2 linked regions of the Elephas maximus indicus genome follow. Each later gene encodes a partner of the first gene's protein in a complex. Links are inferred from orthologs where the notes say so. Each region holds a gene or a part of one and is shown in the gene's direction. Other genes may lie near its edges.

Region 1 (7,670 bases):
TTATATGGATGATGCTATGGAGATGAATAAAACAAAGAACCCTCAAAGAACTCAGTCTAGTAGCAGGCACATATTTAAATAATCATAATGTGATTTAGTAAGAGAGAAGTGCATTAGATTTTCTAAAAATTTTTATTGTACTTTAAGTGAAAGTTTTCAGATCAAGTCAGTCTCTCAGACAAAAGTTTATATATACCTTGCTACATACTCCTAGTTGCTCTTCCTCTAATGAGACAGCACACTTCTCTCCACTCTCTATTTTCATGTCCAGCTTCTGATTCCCTCTGCACCCTCATCTTCTCTCCGGACAGGAGATGCACACATAGTCTCATGAGACTTGATCCAAGAAGCTCACTCTTCACCAGTATCATTTTCTATCCTGTAGTCCAGTCCAAACCCTGTCTGAAGAGTTGGTTTGGGGAATGGTTCCTATCTTGGGCTAACAGAAGTTCTGGGACCATGACCTCCAGGGTCCTTCTTGTCTCAGTCAGACCATTAAGTCTGGCCTTTTTAGGAGAACTTGAGGTCTGCATCCCACTGCACTCCTGCTCCCTCAGGTGTTCTCTGTTGTGTTCCTTGTCATGGCAGTCATCGGTTGTAGCCGGGCACCATCTAGTTCTTCTGGTCTCAGACTGATGCAGACTCTGGTTTATATGGCCCTTTCTATCTCTTGGGCTCATAATTACCTTGTGTCTTTGGTGTTCCTCATTCTCCTTTGCTCCAGGTGGGTTGAGACCAATCGACGCATCTTAGATGGCCGCTTGCTAGCATTTAAGACCCCAGATGCCACTCTTCAAAGTGGGATGCAGAATGTTTTCTTAATAGATTTTATTATGCCGATTAACCTAGATGTTCCCTGAAACCACGGTCCCCAAACCCACGCCCCTGCAACACCAGCCTTTGTTCAGTTTATCCAGGAAACTTCGTTACTTTTGGTTTAGTCCAGTTGTGCTGACCTCTCCTGTATTGTGTGTTGTCTTCCCCTTCACCTAAAACAGTTCTTGTCTACTATCTAATTAGTGAATACCCCCTCCCTCTCTCCCTCCCCGCTCTCCTAACCATCAAGGAATATTTTCTTCTCCGTTTAAACTATTTTTCGAGGTCTTATAATAGTGGTCTCATACAATCTGTCTTTTTGCAACTGATTAATTTTACTCAGCATAAATCCTTCCAGATTCCTCCATGTTATGAAATGTTTCACGGATTCATCATTGTTCTTTATCAATGCATAGTATTCCATTGTGTGAATACACCATTATTTATTCATTCATCTGTTGATGGGCACCTTGGCTGCTTCTATCTTTTTGCTAGTGTAAACAGTGCTGCAATGAACATGGGTGTGTATGTATCTGTTCCTGTAAAGGCTCTTATTTCTCTAGGATATATTCCAAGGAATGGGATTGCTGGATCATATGGTAGTTCTATTTCTAGTTTTTTAAGGAAGTGCCAAATCGATTTCCAAAGTGGTTATACCATTTTACAATCCCACCAGCAGTGTACAAGTGTTCCAGTCTCTTCACAACGTTTCCAACATTTATTTTGTTTTTCGGATTAATGCCAGCATTTTTGGAATGAGATGGAATCTCATTGTAGTTTTGATTTGAAAGTGCATTAGATTGTATGGGAATGTTTAAAAAAGGGCATTAAACCCAACTTAAGGTGAGTAGGGAATAGGAGCAAATATCACAAAAGCCTTCCTGGAGGAAGTTACATGTGAATTGGTTTTTAAAGAACCAGAAGGAGCTTTACTGGCTAAGGAAGGAAAGAAGGATGGGTGGATGGGAGTGTTGGGACAGGGGTGGGGTGAGTGGGTGGTGATATTCCAGGGAAAGGGACAGCATTAGCCAAGGTATGGGGGGGATATGCAATCAAGACTGGCCCATTGGACTTCTGTGTGGAAATGACAAGCAGGCAGTTAGAAGCATGTCTGGAGCTCTGGGATGAGCACAGGGTTAGGGATCTAGATTGAGCAGTCAATGAAATACACCTGTTAATAAATAAATAAATAAAAACCTCATTCCTGTGAAGTCAATTTCGACCACAGCAACCTTATAGGACAGAGGAGAACTGCCCCATAGAGTTTCCAAGGAGTGCCTGACGGATTTGAACTGCCAACCTTTCGTTTAGCGGCCTTAGCACTTAACCACTACACCACCACGGTTTCCAATGAAATATACATGGTATTTAAATCTGTAAGACTAAATGAGGTTGCTCCAAAAGAGTATGTAGTTAGAGTGTACAGACAGAGGCCAAGAAGACAGATCATCCTAATATTTAGAGGGTGGTTTGGGAGGAAGAGCCAACAAAGGAAACTGAAAGGGGTGGCTAGAAAGGTTGGGAGAAACCCAGTAAAGTGTCAAGAGAAAGAGTCTAAAGAAGACAGGAGTGACTACAGTTCAGATACTGTTTGAAAGTAGAGAATGATAGAAACAGAGAAGTGACTATTGGATTCAGTAACTCAAAGATCATTAATGACCTTGGCGGAAGCCCTCTCCGTGAAGTGTTGGGGACAGCAGCCCTAGTGCAGAGGATGGAAAAGTGAATGTAAGATAAGAAAGGGGAGAATGACAAGGAACCCTTGTCCTTTGGCTATGGGTACTCTGGCGGCTCTTCCTAAAAGCCATTCACAAGAGAGGAAGGCAGTTTGTGGTCCCCAGCAGGGACTGCTCAGGGCCAACAATTTCCAGGTCACCTTTATTAGGGTGCCAGGGTACACACTGGCCCTTATTAGACCTATCTCAGCATGTCCCATAGGTGTGTAGCACCCTCGAGGCTCTATACAGTGTTCTCAGAAGAGTGCCCAGCATGGTTGGTGCTATCTGAATTTTTGTTATAATTATTCTAGTTTCCAGGCAAGCTTTATTGACTTCTAAGAACAACTCATTTATGTAGACCGAATCATTTTAAGAATGTGTGAAGATAGCCAAACCGCAGCATAAAAAAGAACAGTGACTTGTCCATGGGGGTGCCAGCCTCCCAGTTTAATAGTCTATTCCCAGTGGTTTGCTCCGAGAGCTCTGATTAAGATGGAAGGCTCTCCCTGGAGGAGCCTCGGATTGAACAAACAAGGGTAGAGAAAGCGAAAAGGAAAACTAACGGTAGAGGCATATCCAGAGAAATACACGTATGAAATCATCCAAAATAGAAGTAAATACAGCACAGTTTCTCACCTGTTTGTACAGTTCGTTTGTTGGTAAATTGAGAAGTACTAATGTAGAAATGGAGGAATATACTACTACAATGGCGAAGCTGTACCATCTGGAGGAATTTTGAGAACTTGTTTCAAAAATGGATTGTTTTAGAAATCAAGAATAAGGTAGAAAGTGAAGAAGATGCGGGGTGTAAGTATCTTAAAATTTCTCCTCTTTTTGGTCTCTGAATGCCGTATCACTTCACTCAGACTTAACGTGAAATTCTTGATGTTTTTGTAGGTGTTTTTGACACATTGTATGCGGATACCTATCCACAGGGTTATTGCGGCGATTAAGATCCCGAAAGTGCACAGTACTATACAGTAACTGATCACGAGGGCATGTTTCACCACAGTGCACAGGCCCTATTGGCTGATGACCGGGTTTTACTATTTTGCTTCTACTTCTTAACTCTGTTGAAGATTTTTTCAATACAAATCTAATAATAATGGCAGCTATCATTTATTGTTTACTCATATTAAGTAATTTAATCTTCAAAACAATCTTGTACGGTAAAATTACCCTCCTCTGATGCTCAGAGTCAGTATCTGGGACCCAGACAGCCCGGCTTCAGGGCCCAGCTTTTAACCACTAATTCTACTTCTTTTAGCTGTGCAAACCTGGATCACTTTTTCCGCCATATTCTGGTAACAGCAAACTCCGTTTTCTCTTTAGAAATCACTCTTACTGCTTTCAGTCGCCAAAGACTCTCGCCTGAGTTCCCGAGACCCATACGAAGATAATTTAATGCACCCAGATTGAACCAGCCCAGTTATCTTTCTCAGATCCGTGAATTTTCACCTCGGTTGAGCGGTGACTTGCACCACCGTCCCTTTATTTCGTTGGTCTCAGGGCTAAACCACTCTCTTTCTCAAATAGCAGCACGGGTAGTCTCTAAAAAGAATACCCATAGAACCCCATGCACCCCCGCGAGCGACCACGTTAGTGGGACCGCTGAGCCTGCTCCCGAGTCCGGGCCCTGACGCGCGTTTCACTGATTCCTTCTCGAAAGTCGCGTATGTTTGGGAAACTGTGGAGTGCTGATGGGCCGCGGATCCAAGAGCCAACGCCAAACGCGCCGGGGCGGGGACTGGCAGGAGCGGGCTCCGGAGCACCGCAGTAAAACGAGACGCGCAGCGAGCGTGCCAGGGCGCCAGGCAGGCGAGGCCGGAGCGGACGCAGCGGGCTGCGCAGGACCCGGGCGCCTAGCTGGAGGGGAAGGGGTGAGGGCTCGGAAGGAAGCGGGCGTGGCCAGGAGCTAGCCGGGCCGCTCCCCGCCCCCTCCCTTCTCCTACTCCCTCCTCTCCGATCCTCTCCCCGCCCCGCCCCGCCCCGCCCCTCCGGCTGAGCCAGGAGACTCCGCCCCTCTAGTGACATCACTGGCCAGGCCAGCCGGCGCCATTTTGAAAGTGGAGTCGCCTGTCCCTGCCGCTACCGCTGCCGCCGCCGCCGTATCTGCAGCCGTAGCTGTTGGAGAAAAAGCAAACGCGGGGAAGCCCCAGAGTGAAATCCACCATCCTGCAGGCTGATCTGCTCGCCCCTCCTTCCTTCTTTCCCGACCCCCACCCCCTCCCCCACAGGTGCCATCCGCCGCCATCCTCCCTCTCTACCCCCCTATCCCCAGGTGAGGGGGGTGAGTTCAGGAAGCAGAGACCCCGAGGAACCCAGCAGGCTCACCATTTGCAGCGCAACATGGCAGGTAAAGGAAAAAAATCACCCTCGTCCACTGACAAGGCACCGCTTCCTTCTCCCTCCATCACCCCCTAGCGACCGTCTCTGCTTCGCATAGAACCACGGGGCGCCCCTCGGATTTCAGGGAATTGGTCGGGTGACGGTGGGGGTGGGGGTGGGGTGGGTTCTGGTGAGGCGAGTGGTCGCTGTGATATTAAAATGTCTTTTAAAATAAGGGCTGGAACCTTTGCGTGGGTGGGGGTGGGGTGTGTGTCGGCAAGCCGTGGGGTAAGGCGTGGGTGGGGCGGGGTGGGGGCGAATGCAGATTTGTCTTCACCGCTTTGGAGGCTGGTGTATTTTTTTTTCCTCCCGGCTTTTTTGCGGATCTTACATCATTTAAATTCCTATTTTTTCTGTTGCTGCAAGCCTTTTTGAGTATATATACAAATATATTTTGCACAGGGACGGAAGAGTGCTTTTCAAGTTAAAATACAGTAGACCTGTGTATTTTTTGTTGTGGATACGTTGATTTTTGAGACTAGTAGTTTGAATTTTTGGTTTTAAACCATCTCACTTTAGTGTCTTACCCGTTACGGCCAAAAAGTGCAAGGCCTTTAATACAGCAAGTTGCATGAAAAATGTAATTTAAACTTTCCGTTTTGCATGTTAGCTCCTGTGCAGATGTTCTTTTCCCAAAAGGGTTTCACAGAGTTTGCTAAAATAGTTGTGGAGTTCAGTGACATAAATAGCAAAGCAGAGAGATTTAGGTAAAAACTTGGGGAGAAAAAGGAGGATGTATAGGAAAAACCAGGTTGGAATATTTAGCAAGGAATGGGAGTGAAGGAAGAGAGGGAATTGCTTTGAGGATTATTTCTGTACATTTATTGTGTTGCTGGATGTCCATCTAGCAGAATCACTTATAGATATGGATTGAGTTTCTTCTTCCATAGATTCAGGTAATTTTCATGATTTCCTCCTCAGTACTTCGACGTGAAATAGAAACAGGGACTAATTCCGTATTTCCATGTTTTTTCCAATACCTAGATAATTAAACCGTTTAAGATAGACATTGGATTGACTCAAATAGTTTGCTATAAACAAGTTGCTCTTTGGCTTGTTGAATACTAAAGTGAAATTAAAATTGTTTTGCGCACTATGATGACAAATTATCAAAATAAATCCTTTGCATGGTCTTTTGGATTCAGAGGGATAAGGTGAAGGGAGGCAAAACAAGCTTCTTTTGAAACTTCTTCAATGGCCTTCATTTCAGTTTCTTTTCCTCCCTGTCTGGAGCCAATGATTTGCTGGTAATGAAATGCGAAGAAATGGGTGGTGTGTGTTTGTTGTGTGTGCTTTGGTGATCGGGTTCATATGAATCATTACTTCTCACTCAGGCAGTAATGTTCCTGAAGTTTTCTCTTCGTTCTATGTTTTATGGTAGTTTAACCTTATTAAAGTCTTCTGCAGGCTTTTTGTATACTTTAAGTAAAACTCTCTAACTTTTGGTATTTACTTTTTTCTGGTAGGTCTTGCTTGAATGTAAGGCTCTTACCATGTCTTAGGGGAAGCGAAAATGGAAGGGAAATTTTGAACAGATGTACAATTTAATGATTGCGTATGCCTTTAAATATTTCATACCTGGAAGATCTGTTTTTTTCTTTTATTAAAGCAGTACCAGCTATTGGGGACTAACCTTTTTCCAAATTAGTGCTATAGGGTGGTGATTATATGTGTGGGCAGTACTAAGCTATTAGTATCGTGCCAACTGCGGATACCATCTCTCTGTTTACGAGAGTAAATGTGAACAGAACTCAATTTAATTGATATGTTTTTTGCGTGTGCGTGTTTTTTCCAGGAGCTGGAGGAGGGAATGATATTCAGTGGTGTTTTTCTCAGGTGAAAGGAGCCGTAGATGATGATGTAGCAGAAGGTAAGAAAGTGTTTAATAATGTGAAACTTGAATATAGAATGTTTTCAAAATCTTGATTATTGAAAGGTTTTCTTGGAGCTAAGCCTGTAATAATTTAAGAACATTTTGTATTGTTTAAGAAATGTAAGAATGGGCCTTGAGATAATATTTGAACCTTAATCAAAAATATCCCCTGAAGTCTTCTTAAAACTGAACAGTAGTTCAGTTTAACTAGTAAAAAAGTTTAGCTTAACTAGTAAAAAAGCCGAACCTTAGGCATTATGCTCAATTTAAGAACTATCTAAATGGGAATTGAATCAACAACAGCAACTTGAAAGATTACATGTGAACCTTACAGGGCAGTGAATTTGTGTTAATGGGGGAAGAATAATTCAGAATAAAGGTGAAAATGGTTGTACAACGCAGAATGTAATCAGTGTCACTAAATGGTACATATGGGAACAGTTGACTTGGTGTATGTTTTGCTGGGTATATTCTCAACAACAAAAAAATAAAACAATTTATTTAAAAAAAAGAAAGAAATTAAAGAATGGGTTTAAAAGTCACCTTTATGGAACATAGTTTTAACTCTTGACCAGACCTCTGTTTTTTTTTTGGTGCCTCGTTATTTTTTTTTTTCCCTGAATTAAAGGAAAGGAACAGTAGGTGATGATGTATATGAAACCACAAGAAAAATGTAAGGTCCGCACGATAAAGGTTTCCTTGCTGTATAAATTCCGCATACAGTTTAACGGGGCATTCCCCTTTGTATATTGTTCTAGGTAATTAAGTTAAAATAGGTGCCGTCAACAGCTCACAAACATTCTTGACAGCATCTTCTATTTTTGTGGAAAGATTTTTAGCTTTTTTTTTTTTTTCTTTTTTGAACTTGCCTGCTT
Region 2 (7,923 bases), on another chromosome or scaffold:
GGTATGAGGTCCCTATCCTCTCTGCTCACTTCTCTCTTTTTTATCTCAAAAGGGATTGACTCAAGATACAACCTAATCCTGTAGATTGAGTCCTGGCTCATTAACATAACTGCCTCTAACCCTACCTCATTAACATCATAGAGGTTAGGTGCGGTGTAATTAATTACTTTTGTGTGTGGCCTTTCTAGCTGCAGTCTTGTAACTCCCACCCAGGTGATTGGGCAGGGCTCTGTGATAGGGTACTTGTGACCCACCAAAGGGATTGGTCAGTTTTGCCTAAAAAAAGAGCCAGTTCCAGAGCAGAGAGGAGAATCCCACCACTGCCAGGGAAGAATGGTCAGGAGCTGGCATGTCCTCTGGACCTGGGATCCCTGTGCTGGGAGGCTCCTGGGACCAGGGAACAGACATAGAGAGAGCTGTAACCCTAAAGATGGTGAGAAGTAGTGTCAGGAGAGACCCGGCAGCAGGAGGTGGCTCGATGGGCTTCGTGGCCCACGAAGAAAGAAAGCTGCGTGCCTTTGGGCAGAGGCCTAGGGCCAGGGTGAGCATGGCTGGGTAGAGGCTGTCCTGATGAAGGAACTGTATCCTTGAGTGTTCCTGAGCCTAAACTGTAAACTGTTACTTCCCTAATAAGCCCCATAATTGTAAGCATGGCCTGTGAGTTTGGTGTGGCCACTGCAATGAATTATCAAATCCGGCAGAGAAGTAGAAAGTGCCATGGGAGGGACAGTTTGTGTCAGAATTGGTAAAGATGGCGGAGAGAGGAGGTGTGTCCGACCTCTGCCTCATAGGAATCAGCCTTGGGCTATTGGTCTTGGTTCTGCTTCCCCCTTGTGGGGTTGGAGGAAGTCAGATACCACCCCCGCGCCATTTTTACGTTAGGATTTACAGCACATAGGATAATCACATCAGATCACAAAATGGTGGACAACCACACAATACTGGGAATCATGGCCTAGCCGAGTTGACAGACATTTTGGGGAACACAGTTCAATCCGTAACAAGCACTTAACCATTTGCACTTCCCAGGGGCTCCTTTGCATTTAGTAGGTTCTCAGTAGTTGTTTGTGGGCAATTATAGAATGGTTGATAACAGCTTCTAAGCTCATCCACGAGATAATCTCTTCTTCCACCGTGATAACAAAATGTGTCCCGTACTTAAACATAATCCCTGCTCTCCACGTATGTTCTCACAGCCCCTGCCGAGTTCCACTGACACTCCTTTGACTCTGTGCCATTTCATGAATTATGCTGGGAGGATACCGCTGTGAAGGCAACCGAGCCAACTTTGATTGAGCAGCCTACACAGAGAGTGCAGTTGAGAAAGTCACAGGCAGTAAAAAGGGCTTCATTTCCTTCTTGCTGGCTCTTTAGAAGTCACTCACTTCGAAGGCACTGTGGAAACGGGGGCAAGAAGAGCTGATGGTACCCTGGGTGATCGGCAACCAGCCTCACACATCTCCAGTGTTTATGTGAGGGTGCTGGGGCCTCATGGTATTTAGACCCCCAATGAGATGGAGCCTGAGTGTGTGTGTGTGTGTGTGGTTGGTGTGTGTTTCTCTCTCCTTTCTACTGTCAAGGCCAGCTAGCTGCTCTTCCACTGACCCTTTTCTGTCAGATTTAGGAGTTCAGCATCCCAGTTGAGAGTTAGGCTTATGGTTAGTGTTTGAACTTAAACTTACTTCCAATTGACATGCATTGCCAGGTCTTCACGTCTTATTCTGTTCTATAGTTCTCATTTAAGGGGCCCTGGTGGCGCAGTGGTTAAGAGCTCGGCTGCTAACCAAAAAGTCAGCAGTTTGAATCCTCCAGCTGTTCCTTGAAAACCCAATGGGACAGTTCTACTGTGTCCTATAGGGTCGCTGTGAGTCAGAATCAACTTGGCGGCAACAGGTTTGGTTTTGGTTTTGGTGGGGCAAGTTAAACGCTTGGCTGCTAACCGGAAGGTTAGTGGTTAGAACTAACCAGCGGCTCAGTGGGAGAAAAGATCCGGCCATTTGCTCCCATAAAGATTACAGCCTAGGAAACCCAATGAGACAGTTCTGCTTTGTCATATGGGGTCACTGTGAGTTGAAATAGACTCAATGGCCCCCAACAACACTTCCCCATTTACATTCCATGTACCCATGCTGTTTTTTCTATATTAAAAACATTTTTGAGTTCTAACTTATATACAGTATAGTATATAAATCTCAAGTATTCAGTTCAGTGAATTTTTACATTTGTGTAGACTGTACTAGCAGCACCCAGATCAGAATTTGGGTCATTTCCTTTTTACCCCTCCCTCACTGATAGTCAGTGATCCCAAGGGTGACCAACTGTTTGGACTTCTCTTTCCATAGATTGGTTTTGGCTCCTCTTGAACTTCATGAAAATGGAGTTGTAGAATATGTACTCCTTTGTGTTTGATTTCATTCATTTAATGTTATACTGTGATCCATCTATGTTGCTGAGTGTAGAATTCCATTGTATAATTTATTCACCATTCTCCTGGTTATGGGCATCCGGGTTTTCTCTAGTTTTTAGTTATTACTGATTATGCTACCAGGGATGTCCTCGTACATGTCTTTTGATGGACATAAGCACTCATTTCTGTTGGGTAGATACCGGGAGGAAACCCTGGAAGTGTAGTGGTTAAGTGCTACAGCTGCCAACTGAAAGGTCATCAGTTCAAATCCACCAGGCGCTCCTTGGAAACTATGGGGCAGTTCTACTCTGTCCTGTAGAGTCGCTATGAGTTGGAATTGACTCAACAGCAATGTGTGGGTTATATACCAGGAGTAGAATTGGTTAGTGATAGGGCATGCATATGTTTTCTTTTGGTGTTGTTGTAAGGTGCCCTCTAGTCATTTCCGACTCGTAGTGACCCTGTGTACAACAGAATGAAACACTGCCAGGTCCTCCAGCATCCTCACAGTCATTGTTATGCATAAGCCCATTGTTGCAGCCACTGTGTCAGCCTGTCTCATTGAGGGTGTTCCTCTTCTTCACTGACCCTCTACTTTACCAAGCATGATGTCCTTCTACATTTTCCCAAAGTAGCTGTACCAATTAACACTCCTTTAGTTCCTGTACTTTCAAAGTGCAATTTTCCTCTGTAACATTTTTATTCTAGGATGGCAGTGCTAGTTGATGTTGTATGTTGAAGTATCTGCCAGTCCATCGCAGATTACATACACACACACATTTGTATTTCACATTCATTCACTGTGTATCCGTAGGTGAATATTTGCCTTGTCTTACACTTGAGGGGAAACTCTGGTGGCATAGTGGTTAAGAGCTACTGCTGCTAACCAAAAAAAGGTCAGCAGTTCAAATCCACCAGGCACTCCTTGGAAACCCTATGGGGCAGTTCTACTCTGTCCTTTAGGGTCACAATGAGCTGGAATCGACTCAACGACAGTGGATTTGGTGGTTTTGGATTATGCTTGGGGAATGCTGAATATACCCTGGACTGCCAGGAGAACAAACAAATCTGTCTTGGAGGAAGTACAGCCAGGATATTCCTTAGAAGTGAGGATGGTGAGGCTTTGACTTGCTTACTTTGGACATGTTATCAGGCGGGATCAGTCCCTGGAGAAAGATACCATGCTTGGTAAAGTAGAGGGCCAGCGAAAAAAAGGAAGACCCTCAACCAAATGGATTGACATGGTGGCTGCAACAATGGGCTCAAACATACCCACTATTGTGATGACAGTGCAAGACCGGGTCATGTTTCATTCTTTTATATGTAGGGTCGCTGTGAGTCCAACCCAGCGCCACAGCACCTAACAACAACGTGCTTGGAGGTTCATAGTGAATAATTGCCCTTAGGAATTAAAAGGACATTGTCTGTAACTTTAAAAAAGCGAATATTAATCGGAATAAAGTTTGACTATTGAGTAGATGTCTGGTTTTGTGACTCAGGAGTGAGCATGAATGCCCAGTGTTTGCATGTGGTATGTAATTCATACTCGGACTGAAGCCGGAAGGCCGAATTGACTCAAGAAAGGTCCACTGGATCCGCCTTTGGCATCAGTCATTTGCAACAGGCTGAAATGCACATTATGGCTGCTATTTTCTCTCACTTATCTTTGATTTCTTTGAGAGGAAGCAGTAGCTCAATATATTAAACACTGATTAGCATCCTCTGTGCTGGGCATTTTAATTCTATCAAGTATATCTCAGCCTATGGCTGAAAAAGACTGGAAACCAGGGCCTCAGTTTCTTAGTTTATGTAACAGATGTAACCCACCTGCAGGGGCTGATGAACAGTATAATTAACAATTATGACCTCCATGTGAGAGAAAGAATCACCCAAGTAAGGCTGACTTAGAGCCAGCCTAGAGAAGCCTGGATCGCCTGGATATTCAAATAATAGTTCTCCCCTCTTTTGGATAAAGCTACATTTGTACTGCTGGTGCTGCTTATAAGGGAAGGTCAGGGATGCCTCTCAGCCAATGACATTGGAGCAGAGCCGTGAAGGGATTAAACCAAAAACCAAACCCGCTGCTGCCCAGTCAATTGCTACTCATAGTGACCCTATAGGACAGGGTAGAACTGCCCTGTAGGGTTTCCGAGGCTGTAAATCTTTACAGAAGCAGACTGCCACATCTTTCTTCCTCTGAGTGGCTGGTGGGTTTGAACCGCTGGCCTTTCAGTTAGCAGCCGAGTGCTTAACCACTGTACCACCTGGGCACCTCTGACTAGATTAAGCACCGTGGATACCTGGAAGAAGACTAACCAATGTGGAGGGGAGCATGCCTGGTGGGCAGAAGAGCAGTGAGGGGCCTCTTTGGCTGGAGGGGAGGGAGGCGGGGTCAGAGGAACAGCAAGAGCCCAACTTAGACAAGGCTCAGGAGGCCACCATCATGACCTCAGCTTTTTCCTAAGTGGGAATCCACAGCAGAAGCGTTTGCTCAGGGAAATGACATGAGTCAACTTTTTTTAAAGGATTGCTTTGAAGATTGGGTGGAGAGCTGATTGCAAAGACAGGGTGGAAACAGGGAAGCCAGTTAAGTTCTCTGATAGATGTACTCAAGCAAGAGCCAAGTGGCATAGATGTTTCATCACTGTGTTTTATTGGTAATAAAATTACAACCAGTAATTGTGTTCTTCGAGACTTAGACAATGTCTGGCACATCCCAGCCACCTTAGTAAGGTAATGATTAAAACCCCTTGCTCTCGAGTCAATTCCGACTCACAGTGACCCCATAGGGCAGAATAGAACTGCCCCATAGGGTTTCCAAGGAGCGGCTGGTGGATTCCAACTGCCGACTTTTTGGGTAGCAGCTGAGCTCTTAACTACTTCGCCACCAGGACTCTTTAGGTAATGATTTAGTAATCTGCAAATTAATATTATGGATATTAAGGAGCCCTGGTAGTGTAGCACAGTTCGACTCTGATACTCACGGGGTCACCATGAGTCAGAGTTGACCAGACAATAACTGGAGGGATTGTTTCAAGTGCCTGGCAGGTAGGAGGCACTTGGAAAACGTCGGTCCTTTTCCCTTTCTGTTCTTCCATGTCACTGCATCCTTGATCCACCTGCCGCATCCTGAAGCTCAGACCTCGTTATGCCATTCCTCTTGTCAAAAATCTACCTTGGCTCCCTATTGCCTCACAGACTAAATACAGGCACTTTTGCCTGGTGTTCAATGCTCCATTCCCTGACTCCGACTTCCATCTCCAACTTTTTCCCGTTACTTATTCTTCTCCATGTATTTGATGTGTTAGCCGATGTCATGGATTGAATTGTGTCCCCCAAAATATCTGTCAACTTGGCTAGGTCATGATTCCCAGTATTGCATGATTGCCCACCATTTTGTCATTTGATGTGATTTTCATATGTGTTTTAATCCTACCTCTACTCGATGGCAATGGGTTTTTTTTTATGATGTTAATGAGGTGGGATTAGTGGCAGTTATGTTAATGAGGCAGGACTCAAGATTAGGTTCTATCTTAAGCCAATCTCTTTTGAGGTATAAAAGAGAGAGGTGAGGAGAGAGACCTCGCCAAGAAAGAAGCACTGGGAGCATAGCGTGTCCTTTGGACTCGGGGTCCCTTTGCTGAGAAGCTCCTTGACCAGGGAAGATTAATGACAAAGACCTTCCCCCAGAACCAACAAAGAGAGAAAGACTTCCCCTGGAGCTGGAACCCTGAATGCAGACTTGTAGCCTCCTAGACTGTGAGAGAGTAAATTTCTCTTTGTTAAAGCCATCCACTTGTGGTATTTCTGTTATAGCAGCACTAGGTGACTAAGATGGCCAAATTCACTCCTTTGTATTTACTTCTGCTGCCACTTCTATATGAAATGCCATCTCTCACTTCAAAGCCTCTTTCAAGTGCCATTCACAAAGCTGTTAGTAATCTGCAAGGTCACCGTATTTGGAGTAGGCAGCATCGTGCCCAGAGAGCCCAAGTTCTCTGCCACTTTCTGGGAACGCTGCTTAACCTCTGTGTCTCAGCTTTCCTTGTAAAATGGGGGTAATGATAACACCTACCTCGTAGAGTTGTTGGGAGGATTAAATGAGATACTACTCACGAAGCACTTTGAATAGTAGTGCCTAGCACTTGGAAAGCTTAAATCAGTTTCTATAATTGTAGGCATGAATAACTGACATTATTTTACCATCAAAACCAAAGACCAAACCCATCGCTGTCGAGTCAATTCCAACTCATAGTGTCCCTATAGGACAGAGTAGAACCACCCCATAGGGTTTCTAAGGCTGGTGGATTCAAACTGCCGACCTTTTGGTTAGCAGCCAACCACTATGCCACCGGGGCTCCATTTTTTTTTTTTTTTTTTTTTACCATCAAGGGCATCAAATTAAAATTTGTTTGAGACACAGCAAAAAGAGATGTGGGCTAGGAACCAAGAGACCTGGACTCTAGTCCTGGTCCCCACTGCTAATCAGCCGTGTGATGGTGAATATGTCATTTTCCTCTCTGCATCTTATTTCCTTTAGCTGCAAAAACTGCTGGGGTTGGACAAAAGTCTCTAAGCTCTGTTTCAGTTCAAGGAGCCATATAGGTGTCTAAAAGCCACTCCAATGCAACACGACCAAACAGAAATCCTAATTTCCACTCCTAAGTGCTTGACTACTAGGCGAATGGTTGTCTGTTCCAACGCACCCAGAGATCCTTCAGGAGACACGCCTGGGGATCTGCTTCCGAAAGGTCACAGCTTCAAAAACCCTATGGAGCCGATCTACTCTGCACATATCCAGTCGCCATGAGTCAGAGTCAACTTGACGGCAACTGGGGGGGGGCCCAGGAAGAGGATTTTAGGACTGCACCCATATGCCATGAAGAGTTTTGTGGGCTTTACTTGATTTCCAGGAGTCCTTGGGTGCTGCAAATGGCTAAGTGCTCAACTACTAGCTAAAAAGGTTGGCAATTTGAACCCACCCAGAGGCTCTTTGGAAGACAGGTGTAGTGATCTGCTTCCGAAAGGTCACAGCCTTGAAAACCCTGGGGAGCACAGTTCTACTCTGCACACATTGGTGTGAGTCAGAATCAACTCAACAGAGCAAACAACAAATTGCTGCTTCCCTGGCTTTCCTCATCTCAGTAAATGGCACCACCGTATTCTCGGTTTAAGTAAACAATTTATGAGTTATTGTCTTAATCATCTAGTGTTGCTTTAACAGAAATACCACAAATGGATGGCTTTAATAAACAGAAGTTTATTCTCTCCCAGCTTAGCAGGCTAGAAGTCTGAATTCAGGGCGCTGGCTCTAGCAGAAGGCTTTTTCTTTCTGTTGGCTCTGGGGGAAGGTCCCTGTCATCAATCTTTCCCTGGTCTGGGAGCTTTTTAGCACAGGGACCCTGGATCCAAAGGATGCGCACGGATCCTGACTCTGCTTTCTTGGTGGTGGGAGGTTCCTGTGTCTCTCTGTTTGCTTCTCTCTTTTCTATCTGAAAAGAGATCGACTCAAAATA

What was found.
Region 2: the proteins of PPP2R2A (region 1) and PABIR1 are in contact, whole or in part, in a cryo-EM structure (PDB 8SO0), measured with the Homo sapiens proteins. The link is inferred for Elephas maximus indicus from reciprocal best matches to the Homo sapiens genes PPP2R2A and PABIR1. Residues at the interface, in NP_002708.1 of Homo sapiens: Phe84, Leu87, Lys88, Ser89, Leu90, Tyr178, His179, Asp197, Met222, Glu223, Leu225, Thr226, Glu227, Val228, Tyr337, Asp340, Phe343; in NP_612206.5 of Homo sapiens: His81, Ser82, Ser83, Arg84, Leu85, Ile88, Lys89, Glu92, Arg99, Glu100, His103.

Annotation. Positions count from the first base shown.
Region 1 is NC_064840.1:47,280,584-47,288,253, reverse strand, and holds the start of PPP2R2A (serine/threonine-protein phosphatase 2A 55 kDa regulatory subunit B alpha isoform), read left to right. Parts: upstream 1-4,574; 5' UTR 4,575-4,883; coding exon 4,884-4,890; intron 4,891-6,717; coding exon 6,718-6,792; intron 6,793-7,670. UniProt on the Homo sapiens protein: Substrate-recognition subunit of protein phosphatase 2A (PP2A) that plays a key role in cell cycle by controlling mitosis entry and exit. Involved in chromosome clustering during late mitosis by mediating dephosphorylation of MKI67.
Region 2 is NC_064827.1:10,662,492-10,670,414, forward strand, and holds the start of PABIR1 (PPP2R1A-PPP2R2A-interacting phosphatase regulator 1), read left to right. Parts: upstream 1-4,831; 5' UTR 4,832-7,923. UniProt on the Homo sapiens protein: Acts as an inhibitor of serine/threonine-protein phosphatase 2A (PP2A) activity. Inhibits PP2A activity by blocking the substrate binding site on PPP2R2A and the active site of PPP2CA.